3 linked regions of the Arabidopsis thaliana genome follow. The protein of the gene in region 3 interacts with the protein of the main gene of each other region in a pairwise test. Each region holds a gene or a part of one and is shown on either strand. Other genes may lie near its edges.

What was found. Proteins that work in one complex are often made in the same cells at the same time.
Region 1: the proteins of FRK1 (region 3) and AT5G47530 interact in a protein complementation assay, tested with the Arabidopsis thaliana proteins (one large-scale study listed by BioGRID).
Region 2: the proteins of FRK1 (region 3) and AT5G07340 interact in a protein complementation assay, tested with the Arabidopsis thaliana proteins (one large-scale study listed by BioGRID).

The regions. Positions count from the first base shown.
Region 1 is NC_003076.8:19,277,932-19,283,561, forward strand, and holds AT5G47530 (Auxin-responsive family protein), read left to right. Parts: upstream 1-3,442; 5' UTR 3,443-3,539; coding exon 3,540-4,166; intron 4,167-4,295; coding exon 4,296-4,550; intron 4,551-4,633; coding exon 4,634-4,939; 3' UTR 4,940-5,130; downstream 5,131-5,630. Other genes in the region: RABA5a (RAB GTPase homolog A5A), read right to left, coding at 96-435; AT5G47540 (Mo25 family protein), read right to left, coding at 5,334-5,410, 5,504-5,606. UniProt on the Arabidopsis thaliana protein: May act as a catecholamine-responsive trans-membrane electron transporter.
Region 2 is NC_003076.8:2,314,046-2,320,149, forward strand, and holds AT5G07340 (Calreticulin family protein), read left to right. Parts: upstream 1-3,167; 5' UTR 3,168-3,254; coding exon 3,255-3,365; intron 3,366-3,428; coding exon 3,429-3,498; intron 3,499-3,730; coding exon 3,731-4,866; intron 4,867-4,944; coding exon 4,945-5,016; intron 5,017-5,096; coding exon 5,097-5,207; intron 5,208-5,290; coding exon 5,291-5,413; 3' UTR 5,414-5,604; downstream 5,605-6,104. Other genes in the region: AT5G07330 (NFU1 iron-sulfur cluster protein), read left to right, coding at 2,019-2,036, 2,117-2,596; Tudor1 (TUDOR-SN protein 1), read right to left, coding at 5,976-5,998, 6,077-6,104. UniProt on the Arabidopsis thaliana protein: Calcium-binding protein that interacts with newly synthesized monoglucosylated glycoproteins in the endoplasmic reticulum. It may act in assisting protein assembly and/or in the retention within the ER of unassembled protein subunits.
Region 3 is NC_003071.7:8,324,183-8,333,426, forward strand, and holds FRK1 (FLG22-induced receptor-like kinase 1), read right to left. Parts: upstream 5,763-9,244; 5' UTR 5,712-5,762; coding exon 5,627-5,711; intron 5,433-5,626; coding exon 4,886-5,432; intron 4,807-4,885; coding exon 4,325-4,806; intron 4,241-4,324; coding exon 4,099-4,240; intron 3,989-4,098; coding exon 3,917-3,988; intron 3,834-3,916; coding exon 3,762-3,833; intron 3,669-3,761; coding exon 3,588-3,668; intron 3,453-3,587; coding exon 3,292-3,452; intron 3,232-3,291; coding exon 3,023-3,231; intron 2,941-3,022; coding exon 2,814-2,940; intron 2,727-2,813; coding exon 2,664-2,726; intron 2,566-2,663; coding exon 2,376-2,565; intron 2,285-2,375; coding exon 1,885-2,284; 3' UTR 1,867-1,884; downstream 1-1,866. Other genes in the region: AT2G19180 (uncharacterized protein), read left to right, coding at 560-965, 1,260-1,393. UniProt on the Arabidopsis thaliana protein: Involved in innate immune response of plants.

The DNA of each region.
Region 1 (5,630 bases), on a different chromosome or scaffold from region 3:
TTTATGAAGACACCCCTCACTTTCATTATTCTTGAATCAATTAGCAAATGGGAGATTGTTTAGTAGCAGATAAGAAAAGATAAGAGGTTTCTTACTGTGTAGCTCGTTGAGCCATCTACCAATGCTGTGAAAAGTCTGCCGTCTGCTGATATCGTAAACCAGAAGAGCTCCAACTGCACCTCGGTAATATGCAGAAGTGACTGCTCTAAAACGTTCTTGACCTGCTGTGTCCCATATCTGTGCTTTGATCTCCTTCCCGTTTATATCCATCTTCTGTGTCTGAAACTCCACTCCAATCGTCGACTTTGAATTGGGATAGAACTCATCCCTCGCAAATCTGGCAAGTAAATTTGATTTCCCGACAGCAGAATCACCGATTAGAACAATCTTAAAGAGGTAGTCTTCGCTCTTGTCGTCTTCAGAGTAGAAAGCCATGTCCTTTAATGCTCAAGATTAACCCTTCTACAGAAGCATATCTTTACCACTGGCTTGAAGCCCGTCAACAAAGCTAAGGACAAAACAAAGAGCCAAAGTGAGGAAGAGGGAAGACAAGAATAAGTAGAGTTGGCATAGGAAACTTGAGAAACAGTAAAGATTGAGATCTAAGAGAAACAAGAGAATCTTTAAGATCACCTGTCTACTTGAGGTAGCTTCCTAGAAGGTTCAGTGGAACAAAGTTGACTAAATATCAAAACTTTCAGCTCTCAACCACCCTAAGAAAATCTATCACAAGCAAAGTATTCAGCACATAAACGCATTCTGGATCCAAAGTAAGACAGCAATACAAGTTACCTCTTCTGAAAGCTTGATCTGGCTCTTTAACACCTCCTAGAGAAACTTGTTATACAAGCTCATGAAGCCTATATACAACAAGTAAAGCTAACTTTAGTTATAATCTCACCCTAAGAATCTAAGTTAAAGTCGGTAGATACTGACTATTCACAAATCATGAAAGCCACCAATAGGAAAGCAGAGAAATATTCTCTCTATCATAAGGAGAAACAGAATTGAGACAGAAAAGACAAGCGCGGGCCCAATTCAACCAACAATACTCATTCACTTGATCACACAAAGTGCAATCTTAAACACTGATAGAAAATTCTCAGTCTTGTCCTTAGGGCTCACATTAAAGATGAATCGAGTTAATGATTGCTGCAGGTTTATAATATCTGCCTGAATATGAAAATCTTCATATACGGCATTAGAAAATGAAAGTAGGCCACACATTTCTTTCTGAAAAAGATGATGAGACATCAAAACTTATAAAACACCAATTCAAAAAAATAATCGAAACTTCACCTAAGAAACTAAACCCAAGTAAGAACCCATTTTCGCAAAAGAGAAGGAGGAGATATTGTAAGAACTCTTTAAAGCAAAAACAGAGCATTGTAATAGAAACAATCAAACCAAGTAAAAACAGAATTTTACATGAGAGATCATCACATTACATTCCCGTCAGATGTAAGATCACACACATACATACACACACAAGACAGAGAAAACGTTGATGATCACGAATTATGAAGACCCATTAGACAAAACAGGACAAAAAACTCGCATTTACAGGGATAATCATAAGGGGAAAATTGAGAAAAACCTTCTCTTTATTCTCGGGAAGTGCAGAGGAAAACAAAATTACCTTGTGGAAGCAACACCGATTAAAGAAATTGGGGAACATGGGAATGGAATGGATCCAAAGAGAAGAAAACGAAACAAGAGATCCCAAAAATGGAATCGGAAAACGAAAGGATTCAACGCCTTCTTCTGGGAAATCAAAGACACGCAGTAACTCTGGCAGAGAGAGAGAGAAAGAAAGAGACCGGAGTTTTTCCATTTCGGTTCGGATTGGTAATAATGGGCTCAGCAAAAATAAAACATCTTGGGCCCTTATGGACCCTCTTACCCTATTTTACCATAGGCTCTACTTTTTTTTACCACCTTTGTTTTAGTTTCACTTAAAATTTTAGTTAAGGAAAAAAAAGTTACCGATTATGTACACTCTACTGTTATTTATTAGACACAACAAAACTTTCAAATATGATGGATTTTCCATCCTATTTTATTTATAAAAGAAAATATTTATATTTCTAACATCAACAAACTCTACCCAAATCAGATTATCCTTCTGAAACTATGCAATTTGTATTGTTTTTCAGGAAACTAGTGATTTTTTGAATAATTGTAATACTTTTCATTCATCAAAAAAACATATTATATCTTTCCTTTTTTTCCATCAAAAACATATTATATCTAAATATCTCATTTTGGGTTGTTTTTTGATAATTAACACTTAAGCCCATATAAAAGAGTCTAGTTCAAACTGAGCCCAGCTACACCAAAGAATCTAGTGGGGGACATGTGGCAGGTAGTAATTTGAGCGTTGACCAAGAAAGGACATTATTATACATCCACCTGGTTAGAGCATGCTTATAGGTGATATTCTCAAAGTATCATTAAAAAAATTTTAGTATTATTTATAATGTTTGTTTAATAGATAAATATTTTTTTTCTTACTTTTAATAAATGCTACCAATCAGGAGATGTCACGTAGATGATACTGATATCAAGAAAATCACTGGAATGATACTAATCAAACTCATTCTAATTGTTTGGTTAATAAAAAAATAATTTTTACACTGATGATATTCTAAAAATATCACTCATGTACATGGTCTTAACCGTTGAAATGTTGGTCGCGGCCTATATATAGAAGAACATAACTCTAAAAATAGCTAAACCCAACCACTTCCCTTGGATTGGAATCTCTCATAAACAGTTTGTTGGTCTGGTCCGCTCCAGTCCATACTCATAAGGTGGTAGATGTTTACTTAGGGTACATCATACATGCACAACGTTAGTAGTTGCAGGCATAGACGTGTTTGCCCTTTATTACGCGAAAACCACTACTCCCTTCGCTAGTCTACTTTCGTCAATTGAACCACTAAACCCAATGAAACCTAATATTTTAGTGTGCTCAATAATTTATCATCATCCCAATTCCCAAGCGTACCAAGATTATAATCTAACTTAACGCGCAATGTCATGACAAAACCTATATACAATGAAAAAGATTTTTCATGACAAACAAAGAAAAAATAAACACGAGAAATGAGTTCTCGTAATAAAGTTGGTGTGAACTGGTTTTTGAACGTGAAGATGACCCCTTCATATTTTTATTTCTTGGTTTTTGCTTGAGAGGGTTAAAGACTCTTAAGGAAGAAATACATTACACGTCAAACCTTTTTGGGAAAACAATGAACGCTTCATTTATAATGTTTCTATTTTTTACTCTTAGGTAAAACATTGCAATTGATAGATGAACAAGAACAAAAGCAGAGGATTAAAAGAAAGATTAAACTATGAAAAAAGGACACGTGTGAAGAGAATTAGAGATTCTGTATTAAGACAGATTAACTAACAAACCAAACCCTACTTGTTCCACTTTCTATTCATACTTAATCTCATTCTCCTCTCTTCCCCTTCATACTTAAATCTTATCATTCATCCATCTTTTAATCATTACTCGAGATTCTGTTTCCATGGCCATATCCTCAAATCTTCTCCTTTGTCTCTCTCTTTTCATTTTCATCATCACCAAATCCGCCTTGGCTCAGAAATGTTCCAACTACAAATTCTCCACCAACCGTCTCTTTGAGTCTTGCAACGACCTACCTGTTCTTGATTCCTTCCTCCACTACACTTACGATTCTTCTTCAGGCAATCTCCAAATCGCGTATCGCCACACAAAGCTCACCCCCGGGAAATGGGTGGCATGGGCCGTGAATCCCACATCTACTGGCATGGTCGGAGCTCAAGCCATTGTGGCTTATCCACAATCAGACGGCACCGTTAGGGCTTATACGTCACCCATCAGTAGCTACCAAACGAGTCTCCTAGAAGCTGAGCTGAGTTTCAACGTCTCTCAGTTGTCTGCCACTTACCAAAACAACGAGATGGTCATCTACGCAATTCTGAATCTTCCACTTGCGAATGGTGGAATCATTAACACTGTGTGGCAAGATGGGTCACTGTCAGGGAACAATCCTCTGCCTCATCCAACTTCTGGCAACAATGTTCGTTCTGTTTCTACTCTTAACCTTGTCTCTGGTGCATCTGGATCCACCTCTACCGGAGCAGGAGGAGCTTCCAAGCTACGCAAACGCAACGTGAGTCCATGGTTTTATCAATTTCTTCATTTCATGTTTTTTAGGAATCTCACATATGAAATGAGATTTATCAATCCCATCATTGTTAGTTGGTTTTATGAAACTTATCACTCCTAATCATTATTGCAGATACATGGAATATTGAACGGTGTGAGCTGGGGTATAATGATGCCAATAGGAGCAATCATTGCTCGCTACTTGAAAGTCTCAAAATCAGCAGATCCTGCTTGGTTCTACCTTCATGTTTTCTGCCAGTCTTCTGCTTACATCATTGGTGTTGCCGGTTGGGCGACCGGTCTCAAACTGGGCAACGAATCAGCCGGGATTCAGTTTACCTTTCACCGTGCTGTTGGGATCGCTCTCTTCTGCCTCGCAACAATTCAGGTAGGTTTTAGTTAACAGTACAGAGAGTATTACACTTGTCATGAATATGTTGCAATTACTAAGTTGCTTGTTTCACACGTTAGGTGTTTGCAATGTTTTTGAGACCCAAACCAGAGCACAAGTACAGAGTCTACTGGAACATTTATCACCACACTGTAGGCTATTCAGTGATCATTCTTGCGGTGGTAAACGTTTTTAAAGGACTAGACATCCTGAGCCCTGAGAAGCAGTGGAGAAACGCTTACACCGCCATAATCGTAGTACTAGGTATAGTCGCGGTTGTGCTCGAAGGGTTTACTTGGTATGTAGTCATAAAGAGAGGGAAAGCAGAGGCATCTGCGAAAACAAGTCAACGAGTAGGCAACGATGGTCGGTCTCTATACGTGTAGACTCTGTAAAGATTAGAGTAAAATGTTCTGGTTTATTTGGTCATTATGGGCTTGTGGTTGTTAATTTTTGTTTGTTTTCGAGATTAAGTTAATACATTTGATGTTTAATAGTTGTTGAAGTTGAAAGACTCTTGTGCTCTTTTACAACATTCATGATGTGAGCTTTTGACAAACCATTTTATTTCATCGACAGTGAAGTAGTGTACATATGAATACATATATCGAATAGATATCTCGTATGTGTATGTGTGTGTGTGTGTGTGTGTGTGTGTGTGTGTGTGGTGAGAAAGTGAGAGGAAGATTGGTTACCTAATGTAAAAAAACAACAAGATGCTTCAAAAATGTCTTTTCGAGTGTTTTAAAAGGGAAGGAAGGATGAATTGCATTAGTTGGTTCAAGCAAGATCTCGAGGTTCAAGGGCTGCGATTTCTCTCAAAACCTGACTTTTGTCTGCTTCAAACCTCTCATCCTCTGTCAACCAAATGAACCAAACAATGCTTTAATAAGGTTAAGGAGCAGAAGGATCGGATACAAGCGTTTCACTTAACAAGATTAGTTTCATACCTTTGTCTGGTTTCAAATCAGCCAACAATCTCAGAAGCTTGCTTCTGTTGGCCACCAGAATGTTGACTATATCCGCAGGCTTGTTTTGGTTCGCTGCAAACAGCTGCACAACAGTGACGATAATCTC
Region 2 (6,104 bases), on a different chromosome or scaffold from region 3:
ATGGAATTATTCTTTAATTATTTTTTCGTCGGCATAGTTTTTGCTATATATCTTCCACTTGCTGGAATTATATTAATGTGTTATCTAAAGTTCGCAGCATAAATTATTGTTGTTGTTACTGTTTATCGTTAATACTTTTTCTTGCTTTATTATTAGTAGGGCTACTTTGCTAAATAAAGAAAAAAAAATAGAAGTTTAACTCGTAAAAATGATTAAGTGGTAGTCGTAAATAAGTGATTCATAATGTAAAATTAATATATAGTGTCAAAAAAAAAACATGCTATTTATTTTTGACTTCTGCATGACTATTAGCACACACAAGAATATATATTATATAGAAATGTCGTCATTCCACTAGCTATAATATATACATTTTTGATTTTTTTACTAAATAGATCATATATTTTCGTAAAATACTAATTTTCTAAGGAGCTGATCTAGTTTAGTGGTCATACGAGGACCACTTACCTCATCAGCTCAACCCACTAATATTGAGTTTGTACCAGTTTGACAAAAAAAATACTTAACTTTTCAGAAAATAAAATGGAATTAGTTATTTTCATAATTACATTTTCAGTTAATAAAACTAGGATAACAAAAACTTGAGTTTTCTTTTTCTTCTTCTGAAAGTTATGACCTACGTAGCTAGGTTTTAGTTTACAGTCGTGGTTAACTTAGAGACTCTTTGATCATCAATCAGTTAAGACCAATGCTTCTTTAAGCCATTTAGTTTATTCTTGATGATAAAAGTACGTAACATCATTTTTAAAAAATTGTGGTGAGTGAGTAAAAGTCACGATACAAAGAAAAATATTCATAGTTTGAAAAGAACGTAAAGTAGAGATGAAATGTGAATACGATTATATATATTGTTTACATAGTTAATGTATAGGCCTTTCTTTCTTTATATAGGATTGTAAAGCTCTTTACACCGCTTTATTTATAACAAAAATAGAAATGAGCAAATAATTACGTCGAATAAGCACTAATTCCATTAAAGTGGGAGCTAGTAAGCACCAAGCACACTAGTTCAACTCGTATCAATTTATTGTATTTAAATCAGTAGTTAAAACTTGTTTAATTTCCTCATTGAGAAAGATTTGCCCACTTTAGTTAAGTCTTATCCCAAATAGCACTTTAGTTAAGTCTTTATCCCAAATAACTTGTTTACTTTTACTTTTCTATTAAAATTATGAATAGTACTGAATTCACTATTTAAATAAAGGCACTATGAAATAAAAAGAACTCCATAAAAAATGCATTAATTATTTTATATTTCTTAAATATAGACAAACTTTATAGAATTAATGGCTACAATAAATATTACGTTGAAAATGTCGTTTTAATATTTCTCCATCTTTTTTACATAATATTTATATGAATTTAAATTTGAATGTCGATACAACGATAACACGAAGACGAGAAAATATAACTATTTTCATTAGAATTGACACCAAACATATTTAATCTCTTCATTTTTGTCTTAAAAACAAAAGAACATACTTTCGTGACATAGGTTCATTTAGTACTTGATGGATTTTCGTGCCATTGGTTCATTTACTCGATGCAAGGCACGGTTCCATCGACACAGCAGCAATGTGATTGTCACATGTCGCGTGGTAAGACGAGGGTTGCTAGAGCTTACCAGTAAAAGAAGATACACAAATTTTGGTCTTATCCATTAGGCATACAAATTTAAAATATAATTAATATCTCATATTTTTAATTTTGACAGAACCAATGAAATAAAACACGCGCATTACTGCAGTGAATCCCAATTATAAGGAATCTGATTTGACGTGGATCTTCAAGACACTTCCACGAATTAAACTGCATGTTCTTAAATGCTTACACGTATTACTTCTACAACTCTCTTCTCTACTCCAGATGTCTCCATCTTCCTTTTATATCCGATATCTAAAACGCTCTCAAGTATAGCACAATCCACAACAACAAAAAGTACAAATCTTACTCTTCTTTTCAGCTAGATTTTACTAATCACTCGCCAAGAACAACCAATGGCCGTTCGATCAACCGTAAGTAACCTAAGACGTCGTCGTTTCTCTATGATTCATTTGGTCTTCACGATTTGACTTTTATCATTTTGTGTTTGAAGGGTCACTTGAAAAACGTAGTGCAGAGGTTAAGAACTTACACGAAGGCGACAACCGTACCAAGATCCAAAGCGTATTCTACGGCGGCAACAGAGTATGGTGGCCAGAGAACCGCCACCACAGCGGCAGCAACAAAAGGTGACTTCACACCAGTTTACGTCTCCATAGGATTGATTTCATTGTCAGTAACATTTGGTGTCTACACTGCGTATCTTCATCTACATGAAAACCCTGGCGTACGTGTCAACAAGAAGATGAGAGAGACCGTTCCCGAGATCGAAGATCCAGATAGAGTTCTAAACGAAGCGGACCGGTTCGCTAACAGGTCTTGGTTTAGGAAAATAGCTCACGTTCAAGAGTTTGACAAGCAGGATGTGATCTCTGACCCAATCAGGAAAGACCAGTTTGCTCATAAACCTCGTGCCTTGACGCTTAAGGATGTTGGCGTTGATCCTAAGATATCGGCTGCTGCAGCTCACTAAGTTTTTATGAAGGCTGGTTTATGTGTTTTGTTTTCCATGTTTCTGTCGATAAATAAAACATCTGAAGGAGATCAAAGAGTTTTCAAATGGGTCGGTTAAGGTTTTATCCTGTTTCCTCTTGGATGTATTACAGTGATCAAGCAACTTTTGAGTGTATTTGTGTTGTTTCAACAGCATGTAAATTATCTAATGAAATTTCGGTCGAAGTAATAATACAACTTCGTTTTGCTTCTATTTTCTTCTGGATTAACGATTTTAGTAAAAATACTCATTTGGGAGAAACCAATTTCTTGGGTCTAGGTTTGAATGAGATAAAATGGTTAACTTCCTAACCTTCTAAGAGTGTCCGAGGATTCATTCGCATTCTAATTGGGCCCAGGTCAAGGCCCAGGACCAGGCCCTAGTGGGGTAAAATTTTGCACGCGTCGGTGCTTTGTTTTGGATGACTTGGCGAGAGGTGATAGGGTAGTGTCACGTTGGCGAGCGATATTCATTGGAAGATAACAATCAAAATGACGTTCGTAGGTCTAAGAAATACGAGGACTAAAGAGTAAAGAATATCTCTCTCTCTGATCTACTTAGTACTTACTTAGTAGTTACTTCTCTGTCTTATTTGATTTTGAGTCTCTGTTTTGTCTCTTCTCTTGAGATTGCGATAATGAGAGAACGGATTATTACATTCGTTTCGCTGCTTCTTGTAGCTTTGCTTTCGTTTCCCAGTGTTAGCTACTGTGACGACCAAACGGTGATTGGTCACTTCCTTGAAAAAGTTCCTATTTTAAAGATTTGTTCATCGAATCTCCAGTAACATGGTGTTTTTGTTGTTGTTCAGATCCTGTATGAATCGTTTGACGAGCCTTTTGATGGTCGCTGGGTCGTTTCAGAGAAAGCTGAATACCAAGGTAAAGCCATGTCGTCGTAGTGAATTCGTGTTTTGAATTTTTTGGTTTTCTTTCGTCTGTTGAAGTAAAAACAAGTTAGAATTAGTGTAATGGAAGTTACAATCAAAAGGGGGTCTTAAAGTTTTGGTTTTTATTGGAACAGATTTAGAAATGTTTACTTTTACTATAAGTGGATAAGAAACAGACTTTGTGTGAGCTCTTAAAAGGTTGCTTCTTATTTGAAATCTTTTAGGTGTGTGGAAGCACGAGAAGAGTGAAGGGCATGATGATTATGGACTTCTAGTGAGTGAGAAAGCTAAGAAGTACGGAATAGTTAAAGAGCTTGATGTTGATGAGCCTCTAAACCTTAACGAAGGAACTGTTGTTCTTCAATACGAGGCTCGTTTCCAAGAAGGGCTTGAGTGTGGTGGTGCTTACTTAAAGTATCTTCGTCCTCAAGAAGCTGGATGGGTTCCTCAAGGGTTTGATAATGATTCTCCTTACTCTATCATGTTTGGACCTGATAAGTGTGGTGCTACCAACAAGGTTCATTTCATCTTGAAGCATAAGAATCCCAAGAGTGGCGAGTTTGTTGAGCACCATCTCAAGTTCCCTCCTTCTGTTCCGTTTGACATGCTTTCTCATGTCTACACTGCGGTCTTGAAATCTGATAATGAGGTGAGGATTTTGGTCGATGGTGAGGAGAAGAAGAAGGGTAATTTACTGTCTGCTGAAGACTTTGAGCCTCCGTTGATTCCTTCCAAGACCATCCCTGATCCAGAGGACAAGAAGCCAGAAGACTGGGATGAGAGAGCCAAGATTCCTGATCCTAATGCTGTGAAGCCTGATGACTGGGATGAGGATGCACCCATGGAGATTGAAGATGAGGAAGCTGAGAAACCCGAAGGATGGTTGGATGATGAGCCTGTAGAGGTTGAAGACCCCGAGGCAAGCAAGCCAGAAGATTGGGATGACGAGGAAGATGGTGAGTGGGAGGCTCCTAAGGTTTCCAACACCAAGTGTGAGGCAGCACCCGGATGTGGCGAATGGAAGAGACCGATGAAGAGGAACCCTGCTTACAAGGGCAAATGGAGCTCACCTCTCATAGATAACCCAGCTTACAAGGGAATCTGGAAACCAAGAGACATTCCAAATCCTGATTATTTTGAGCTTGAGAGGCCGAATTTGGAGCCCATTGCTGCCATTGGTATTGAGATATGGACAATGCAAGACGGTATCTTATTTGACAACATCTTGATATCTAAAGACGAGAAGGTTGCTGAAACTTACAGACAAAGCACTTGGAAGCCCAAGTTTGATGTGGAGAAAGAGAAACAAAAGGCAGAGGATGAAGCTGCTGGTGAGGCAGATGGTCTCAAGAGTTACCAGGTATATTGATTTTCGCCACAAATTTGGAATGCTTATACATATCCTTTGTACTTATATTATGTATGTGCATTACTGCAGAAGAAGGTGTTCGACCTCTTGTACAAGGTTGCAGACATTTCTTTCCTTAGTGCGTACAAGTCAAAGATTATGGTAAGTTCTCATTTTCAGACTTTAGAAACATATTGTATAATGAAGAATCTTAAATGAGAATTTGCAATTTTCGTTTGTAGGAACTTATTGAGAAAGCTGAAACACAGCCAAACTTAACCATCGGTGTGCTCATTTCCATCGTGATCGTCTTCCTCTCTCTCTTCTTCAAGCTCATATTTGGTGGTGCAAAGGTAAAAAAAAAACATGTCAGTGAGATGTAATGTTTTGGTTGGCGGGTGTTTGAGTCTTAACGAAATTCTTGGTATGTATGTAGGCTAAGGTAGAAAAGAAGAAACCGGAAACAGCTGCAGAGACCTCGACAAGCGAGGCAAAGACAGAGGAGAAAGCAGAAGCGGTGGCTGCACCACGAAAGAGGCAGACGAGGCGTGAGAGTTAGATAAAAAGAGGATTAGATTTTGATTTTTGGGGCTTTTTGTTTTGATTTATCACCGTATAGACAAACAGTAGTGGACCTGATATTAAGACGATTATTGTAACATGTTTTTTTTGTATGCTTTTAGTTTCACATGAATCTGAATGTGGATCACAACATTTATGAGTTGAAATTTGATAAGTAATGGGTTGTGTACATCACATGCATCAGCATTATCAGTTTATCGTCTTTAGCTCGAGTGTTTACAACAAAATCTTAGCTTCGAGATTTAGACTTCTCTACCAAAGGGTCTTGATAGCCATGGCACGAGACTCGTATGATATACTAACCACAGTTAGGTCTGTTTGCAGAATGGATTCTTTGACAGAGCACGAGCTTCAGCAGCCAGAAGAGCATCATAAAGGTTTGATCGCTCTTCAAAATCTGTGTGTCTAACCACATTTCCAAAACCACGGGCAAGAACGAGCTCAGCACTATTCACCAGCTGGCTGACTGCCAGCAGATGATGCAGTCACTTCATCAGAAAATAAGACCAAAGTTGCTCCAACGACCATATCCTTCCTGCTTAGTCTCTGCTCTTTTTTTGTTCTTTCTAATGTCAGTGTAACATAAATAAGACGGCTTAAGGAATGGAAAGATAAGTTGGACCAGAAAACACACAAAAACTGTAAGCATGGTTCAAACTTCCCCTTAT
Region 3 (9,244 bases):
TTTAGGGCCACCGGATTAGATCAATCGGTGCCCATTTCAAGCCCAATCCACTCGTCTTTTGTTAGATTTTTTTTCCTTTTTTATATATATATATATTTGGGTTTGCTCAAACATTAATAATTGATTGAAGTTAATTTTAAAATTTAGAAATTGGACTTGCTGTTTTATTTAGAAAATCCACAACTGAATGAGTTCTAACATGTACAAGATTCACCAAAACTTTGTCTTATCCTGTCAAATGGTTAGTCTTGCGGATATGATGCTAATTTCATGTTTTAAGTTATTTCAATTTTTCAAATATACTTTTTTCTTATCAATAAATTTACCATCAAAAAAGAAATAAATTTACCATCAAAAAAGAAAAAAAATTGACCAAAGAAAAAAAAAAATTGACCAAGAAAAAAAGGTTATTTGTTTTTCTATTAATTTTCTATAATTGGATCGGATCTCAGGGATTCGGATCCCAATTTGTACCCGTTTCAGTTTCACGAACTCTGTCATCGTTTATAAATGTAAAAAAAATCTCAAACTTTCTCTTTCTTGACTCTCTCTCCTAAAAATGTCTCGATTGCTCTCAAAAACCCTAATTCCCAACGGAAGATTCCTCCTCCGTCGTTTCAACGAGCCGGCGATTACGACACCACCAAACGTCGTCTGTTTCAGCCGCCGCTTTTCATCCATCCCACAAGTCATCGAGCTTGAAATCGATTCTAAAAACGAAGCGGAAGCAGCAATTCTCAAAAAGCTAAACGAATTCGTACGAAGGATCATCGTTCATAATTCGACTCCAGATTGGCTTCCTTTTGCACCTGGCTCTTCCTTTTGGGTACCTCCTCATCAGATTACGGCTACAAAGATCGCCAATTTGGTCGATAAGGTGACTAATCCGTTGACGGAGGAAGAGTCTCTTTCGCTTTCGTCTCCTTATGGTTGGCCTTGTTCCTCTTTCTTCATTCCTCCTCCAGGTAATTGCTCTGATGGGTCTTACTTGTTTTTTGGTTCTGCTTGTTAAAAAAGATTCCTTTTGAGATTTTCCTCAATGTTAAACCCAATTCATGAGACAAAGTTGAGATTTTGTTGGGTTACTTAGGGAAGAGAATATTTGAACATTATTATCTACATGAACATTTAGAGCAATACTAGAGCTGATTTGTTTTGATGTTTGTGTCTCGTTTTCGAAAGATATGGTTGAGTCGTTGTTAGGGTTATTTGCTGATATCTGTGGTGATATGTTTGTGTATGTCTATGAAAATGTTAAGATGGTTCCTCATCTACACAAGAGGAAGAAGCTAGCGTGGAGTTGAAAATCCCGGGGAATGAGATGTTGGAAGTGAAGCTAGCACATTATCCAGATCCTATTTACTCTTTTAAACCTGAAGATGGTGAAGAGTGATTCGATACCTTTTCCAGCACGAGAGAGCAGGTAATGACAATGTAAAGAAATTTTTTTACAAGTTGATTATAGATTTGAAGTAGCAATGAAATGTGTTCCTGACAAATACCTTGGATGTACAGGACAGGATTGGAAAAAACAGATGACGATCGAAACTCAAGCAGTTTGTACATACAGTTGAAAACCATGGGAGTTATATGATCTTTGGGTGACTTTATACACCTTGTTTACTATGTTTTATAATTGACTTAATATAATTAGCTTGGGGGCTTCTTCCACTTGCCAGAGTTTATGGTGATGCTCGGGTAACTTGACAATTTCATTTATAATGACAATTCTTCCCTTTGACACTTGACCTAAGTGCATATAAATAATGTCTTGGCATACATATTATTCAGCAACCATTTGCAAGTAAGATTAATGTATTTATTGAGACACAAAAGCAAATTGAATACAAATTTATTCTTCTTTTTCTACTCTGAAGAAATTCACTACCTTGCTCGAGGAACCATCTCGGTGTCTAGATTCACTGTAAGCATTTTCGTCGAGTCATCGTAGTTTTCCTGATCAGTCACTATGCCATAAACAATCTGTTTCAGCTCCATAACGACCTGACTCATCGTTGGCCTCTGCGCAGAAGTGTGCTCGGTACAAGCAAGAGCGATCTCTGACATTTTCCAAGCCGAGCCAACGTCATATCTCTCTCTTAGACGCTGATCCACGATTCCTCTAATGTCTCCGTTGGCTAATATTGACCTGACATGATCACTTATATGCACCTTCTCTGTTTTTGAGCTTGCAATAGCAGGTTGGCCTGTAATCACTTCAAGAAGAACAACCCCAAGACTATAAACATCACTCTTTTCGTTCATTTGGCGAGTCGAATAGTACCTGTAGTTTCAATAATATGTGTCACCCTAGATGAAACATTTGTATTCTTTAGTTTGGAGAAATAGTAATTAAGAAGGTTTTTATTACTTACTCGGGGTCAAGGTAACCGATGGATCCAGCGACAACTGTTGAAATCTGACCGCTTCCTTCAACAGAGAAGCTTCTAGATAACCCGAAGTCCGCCATCTTCGCTTGGAGCTTCTCGTTTAGTAAGATGTTTGTTGGCTTCACATCTCTGTGAACTATAGGAGGCTTACAACCATTGTGAAGATACTCTAGTCCTGAATTTGTTTTATAGACAAGAAAACACACACTTCATTGATTGATTTTCGCATGTTAGATTTAGTTAAATGTAATTTCAAGATGGGACTTCCCGAACCTTGCGCTGCATCTAATGATATCTTCAACCTCTCTTCCCAGCTCAAGATAAATGACCTTTTACCTTCACAAAATGAAACAAAACCAAAGTTCCTTTCTCAGTACATTATGAACATAAGATTAGTGAACAAAAGAAGAATCATTAATTAACCTGCCAAATAGTCTCCTAAGTTCTCATTAGCCATATACTCATAGATAAGCACCATGTGGTTTATTTCGTTGCAATATCCAACAAGAGAAGTCAGGTTCGTGTGATGAACTCTCATGAGAAGGTCAACCTGCGATTCTCAACTAGATTAGTTAGGTGAAAAAGTTTGAGATAAATTAAGATTAAGTCCTTGAAAGGTACGCAAAAAAAACCTCTGCTCGAAACTCTTTGTAGCCTTGAGCTGATTCTTCAGAGAGTACCTTGACAGCAACTTGTTCTCCATTTATGACACCATGGTATACTTTACCAAAACCTCCTTTGCCAATAACTCTCTCAAAGTTATTTGTGATATTCACAACTTCTGAGTACTTAAAGTATCGCTTTGCAGTTTTCAACGGCCCATTCCTCTCACCAAGTGTACCTATAAGAACCTCGTTTAGTTACTTTCTTTATTGGCAGAAATTTGTTTTTAGTATCATACCTCTTTGTTGTTTTTTCTTGAAACGCCGGAACAAAGCTAAAGCCGTCAAAAGAACGACGATGATTCCTACGACTACTAATGGAATGATGTATCCATTCTTGTTCTTCTTCTTTGTGTTTGAACAGGAATCAGAGAGACAAAGGTCCGGATTTCTACCAAATCTATAAAGTTACAATGTAGACATGTTAGGAATGAATCTTGTCAAAGCGCATTGCGGAATTATCGGTTCTAAATCACATTCAAAGAGGAAGAACTAAACTAAAATTAATAAAAGGTAGCTTTTACGAGTCGCAAACCTTAAGGAAAGAGATCCATTCTTTGATCTTTCATGCAATCTTTGTGGAACTATGCCCGTTAACTTGTTTCCTTCAACGTTTCTGCATATACGAATCCACATCAACTCGTAAATTCAAAGATATCTTTTGCTTCACTGATCAAGTGAAATATTTGCTCTAGTTGATATGACTCACAATTCGGTCAAGTTTGGTAAGTTAGCGAGGAAAGCAGGTATTTCTCCTGTTAAAGTATTACCGGATAAATCTCTGTAATGAAAAATGATTGTGTTAGTAAGGAACTCTGTGTATCACAGAGTGTCAGTGATTATTACATGAAAAAAAATACCGACAATTTTCTTATAGATGTAAGGTTGGAGAAGGCTGGATCTATCTGGCCTCTTAATTCACTAAAAGATATATTTCTGCCAAATAGAGATGTTTAGGACAAAACAAAAACAGAGCAAAACAGAGCACAACAGAACAAAGCAGAGTAAAACAGAACAGATATCTATAAATTTAAACACTAACTTACAGTGAAACGACTCTAGGATTAGTAGTGTTATCACTTTGGATACAGTCAATACCTTCCCAAGAATAATCTACGGGAACACAAGGATCTCCTTGCCAGTTCTTCTTCACTCTATACGTGGCTTTAATCTTCCTCATGGCATCAACTATAAGAGCATATAAACGAAATCAGACATAACCGAAAAAAACTTCGGAGGAAGTTTGTACCATATAAAAAAAGCCTTAATTACCATCCTGTGGATGAGTTGGGATCTGAAGGAACTCATTGACTTGATAGACCTCAAGGGCGTTAATGATCGGTGGAAGTACAAATTCACCAGGTGGTTGAAGAAGAGAGAAGTTAATGGTAATTCCGCTCACGGGATCCGGTGTAACGAATGTGTCGGTAAGCAAGTACCGAAGCTTAAACGAAGGAGAGATTACATCCTCATTTAGCCAGATGCTGAATTCTCTCGTCTGGTTGCTTTTCAGTACTTCAATTTCAGCAAAGTGCATGTATACATAAAACTTTGCGTTAGGGTCGGGCGGTCTGAAACTAAGCGTTAGGTAGAGGCTCTCGTTTCGCGCTGTTTCTGCAGTGCTCATGACAGTAGAAGCCGGTTGGTAGCCATTGTTAAGAAATTGATCGACAGTGAGAGATGTATTTAATATCTTGTATTCTGAACTCACTATACGCGGTGTCCATATACGGTCATATATGTCATCTTTGTACCTACACAAATGTGTATGAGAAACTGCAAAAACAAAAAAGTTTCCTTGTAAAATAATCAAAGTTTCTTGTTAAGGCTCACCTCGATGGAAGTTTTCCCGTTTTGCTGTAATCTAATCTCCGAAGGAGGGTAAGTGCATCGTAAGGAGTCTCATAAGTAGTGTTCAACAAGAGCCGTATCTCCAAGACAGACAAAAATGGAGTTCCTGCGTTCTTATCAACAACACACACTTGAACATTGTCTAAAAGTGGAATGGTGATTATCTCTTTGTTGAGTATAGTTGTTGCATCGTCGAGTTTAACAGAGTCCCAAAAGTTTACTCCTAGATAGAGATCGAACTCGGGTACTCTTCCAAGATCATCATAGTTCCCGTACATGAAACGAGTTCTGATTAGATACTTAAAACCTTTGCCTCTCGGCGTCGGAACATCGTAACAGCTTCTCTTGCTTTGAGGGAAACTTCTCACGTTCAACAAGTGTCTATCAAAACCACTTGATTGAAACTGAGCTGCAATTCTCTTTGTTGTTCCTGAATCAACAAACGCCGAATCCGAAACATACTTTATACCTGTAGTCTCATCGTTGTAGCTAGAATCATCCGGTATCCCGCAATCTATACTTATGAAACCTGTAACACTCAGAGAATGAGAGAAAAGAAGATACGATTGATGTATGGAAGCTTGGTTTGCTTCAAGATAAATACTAAGGGAGAGTAGTTTTCTGGGAAAATTGTATGCAAATTCTTAACTAAACGATGCACTTGATGTAAAAACGTATTTTAGCATCTGAATATTAAACAAAGCCAAGACTGTTTTAAATTACCAGATTGATCTTGAGCATGAACAAGAAAGAACAGAAGAGCAAAGCTTGTGAATAAAATCGATGAAAGAGATTTTAACATCGCCATTTACTTAATTGAGCTGCTTTCTCTGGGCTAGAGCAATGAGCAACTGTTTTATAATTAAAAAAAAAAAAACATTTGGTCAATAAGATGTTGATAGTCAACCAACCATCTTCTAAGGTTATTAGTGTTACGCAACTTTAAGAATGTTCGGACCAGGACGTAATATATGTCAACGCTTACTCTCATTAACATTATTTCTACTTATTGCATATTTGCATGGTTTTTCCTTGGCAAATGATTACCTTTAATTCTCTGCAAAATTTAATTAAAAGTATATTTGAGTCTAATAAAGCGAATGAAACTATATGCATAAAAAAACGAGACTTAAAATCTATTTTTAACTATTATTTACAACGTTGCCAAAAAAAAAAACTAGTATTTTTCAAATGTTTGACAAGAAAAGGTTCATTTTAATAAATGGTCAAAACACATCTAATTTCCTTTTGAGTTTATTACTATATATGCTATAACACCACATCACAAATGTAAAGAGACCAACACTGATATAAAAAATCTCACAACTCCCAATAGTTTGTATATTTTTTTAGGAATCAGTTGAATATCAATGTGTTACGGTGAATTTTTTTATTTAATATAGTCAAGGTACTTGACAATAATTTGCAAAACCACATTGGTAGGTGACCGGACACGTTTAGATCTTTTTATTAGTCATCACTTTCAAGTTTCAACGATGTGTTTTTCTTTTAAAACCCGATGATCCGCTTTCAACGATACAATATGTTCTTTTAATAATATATATATTGGTCAACTAGTAATTAAGTCAATAATTTTTTTATTTTTTTTTGTCGACTTCTAAGTCAATGAATATATATTCTTAGTTTCATTGCCATCCACAAAATAATCAAAGAGATATATATTCTTCAGATATTTATTTAACAAAAGAGACTATTCTGATATTAATGTATGATCATACAATTTTGGACTCCTTTTCTTTTTTTGTTTCTGAATTCGGTTTATGAAGATTACTTTAGAATACTAGCTTCGTAAGACAGGTCTAGAAGGTAAATCTTTCCAACCTGCAATCACTAACCAAATAGTTGTCATTTCGTTTAGATCAAAGATCGACTTTTAGTTGGATATCAAATTTGGTCACTATGTAATATTGGAATTCACATGGCGAATACAGTCATACAGATTGAGGTATGATCCTAAGGTCGAATGACCGAAAGAAAATGCAATAACTAGGAATACTGCCCTAATAAGCGTCCCTAATACTTTTCAACATATCAAATCTTCTTCTTTTTTTTGTTGTTGATAAAAAGGCGTTTAATTTAAATTAGAATAACTAATACCTTGCTATGACTTTTTATGGTCAAACAGTTTTAAGGAAGTAATTTGGAGGAGGACTTGACGATAAAAAGATATTCTTAAACCTTTTTTCTTTCCAAATTACTTTCTCAAAATTGTTTGACCATAAAAAGTTTTGGAGATAACCAACCAAAATTATACATAGCTGCGAGGAAGAGGAAGTGAGGAAAAAAAATAAAAATAGCTTACAGGAGATAACTAATTAGTGTTTCCACGACTACCGCGGCTTCTACAACCACAACGTCCACAATAACTCACATTAATCCATATATTATGAACCCTTGGAAACGGTTTTGTACCGGTCTATCTCGCAAAGTCTTATGAGTAGATGAGTCATATCAGATTCTGCTCAGAGATTGGAACTGAGTATCCTTGCTCCAACATTTCGAATCTTTCAAACAGTTTCCAAATTTTTTGGACGGATTGGATTTTTTTGTTGATTTGGTAAACGTTGATGTGATCTTCTGGTCCGATAATTCTAACAAAGGTGCATGAACCTCATCTGAAAAGATGCTTAGTTGACAAATAATATAAATCAAAAGTCTCATATTGACCATATGATTTATATAAGTCGGTATGCATGCATGTATAATTTAAAATATATAAGTTAATGCAAAAAGTTAAAGCTCTCCCTTTGTGAAAAAAAAATCCAAGAAAAAGATGCTTAATTGAAAAGTAGTCTGAAAAAAATATTATAATTATACAAAACTAAATTCTTGAATAGACGATACGGTTTATGTAAACCGACATGATTATATACATGGTTGATGAAAAAAGTGTTTTCTTACGTGAGATTAGTGCCTTTTGCTCTTACCAAACTTCTCATTACCCGGGTCTGCAAGCCAAACATACAAAAAAAAAAAAAAAATCTCATTACGTTATCATTAGAGCAGAAAAATCCATTAAAAACAGTCTAATAATTAAGATTTACTTAGTAGTAATCTGATCAGAACTTGTATGGTCTCAGAAATCACCACCCGATTTCGATCTCTATCTAAGGGAGTCAGGGTTAATCTATATAATCCAAGTATTCTTGAAATTCATCAACGTATTAGTTATGTCTCCACAGAGATTATACACACTCCTTTTGGACCAGTTTCATTTGTGTCTTGTTGGTAAAAAAAAACACAGAGAAATTTCTACTCTTCTTTTTTTTTTTTCTTTTTTTTTTTTTTCTCTTGAAGAGAAAAACTTCTACTCTCATAAGGTATAGAAGAACAAGAACCGAATCTATACGATATATTTTGGTCCCATGATCCTGTATAACGCTTCCTCTTCGATATCGCACCTCCTCTAGCGTTCGCAGTGCATCTGGAAATTACAAGAAAAAGAAGAAGAAAAAGAATTTAGGGTTTAGTTTAAGAAAATAAAACCTAAACCCTAGAGATCATAAACCCTGAAATTTTAATTGAAAGGAGAAGAAGAAAAATAGGAAACTCACCTCGCTTGAACAATGAAGTTCACTGTCAGGGATTCGGGGAACAATGACGGCGGAGTTTTGCGACAATGTATGTTCGACAGCGATTTCTCATTGTCTCCAATTCTCTAATTTAAAAGTTAGGTCCAAAAAAAAAAAAAAGTTAGGTCAAATTGGTATCTTTAAGTTTTTTTTAACACTTTTCGATTTGTAAATGTAATTTCAAATTTTTTTAAAAAACGATATTAAGACTTGAAATTACATATATGACCAATTTATGTAATTTCTTATTTCTAAATATCCAAGAAGTGAGGTATATAAATTGCGTGAAGTGGAGAAACCCTAAATCGCGCCCATGATCCACTCGCTTCCGAAGAGAAGATGAAAAGGGATAAGGTTGAGCGTAAGATTCCCGGGTCCGAGGATATGAAAATACTGAAGAACTGTTTTGTATATATCGTACCTAATTGTTTTTTTTTTTTAAATCGCTTCCGAATATTTAAGCTAATAACTTCCGTGGTTGTCCGTACATTTTCGCCAAAAGTCATCCGCACAATCAGCCCCTAAGTTCGGAAGAGAAGATGGAGAAGGAAAGTAAGAAGAAAATTAAGAAACTCGCTTCCCGAGAGAAGGTGGAGGTGGTTAAGCGTTTGTTTAGACTTGAAGATATTAAAATAAATCGCGTGGTTTGGAAAAGCAGTGTAATAAATATTCTTTCTATCTACTGTACCTAACTGTCGTTTGTCAAATCGCTTCCTAATATTTGAGCTAATAACTAACGTGTCTTACT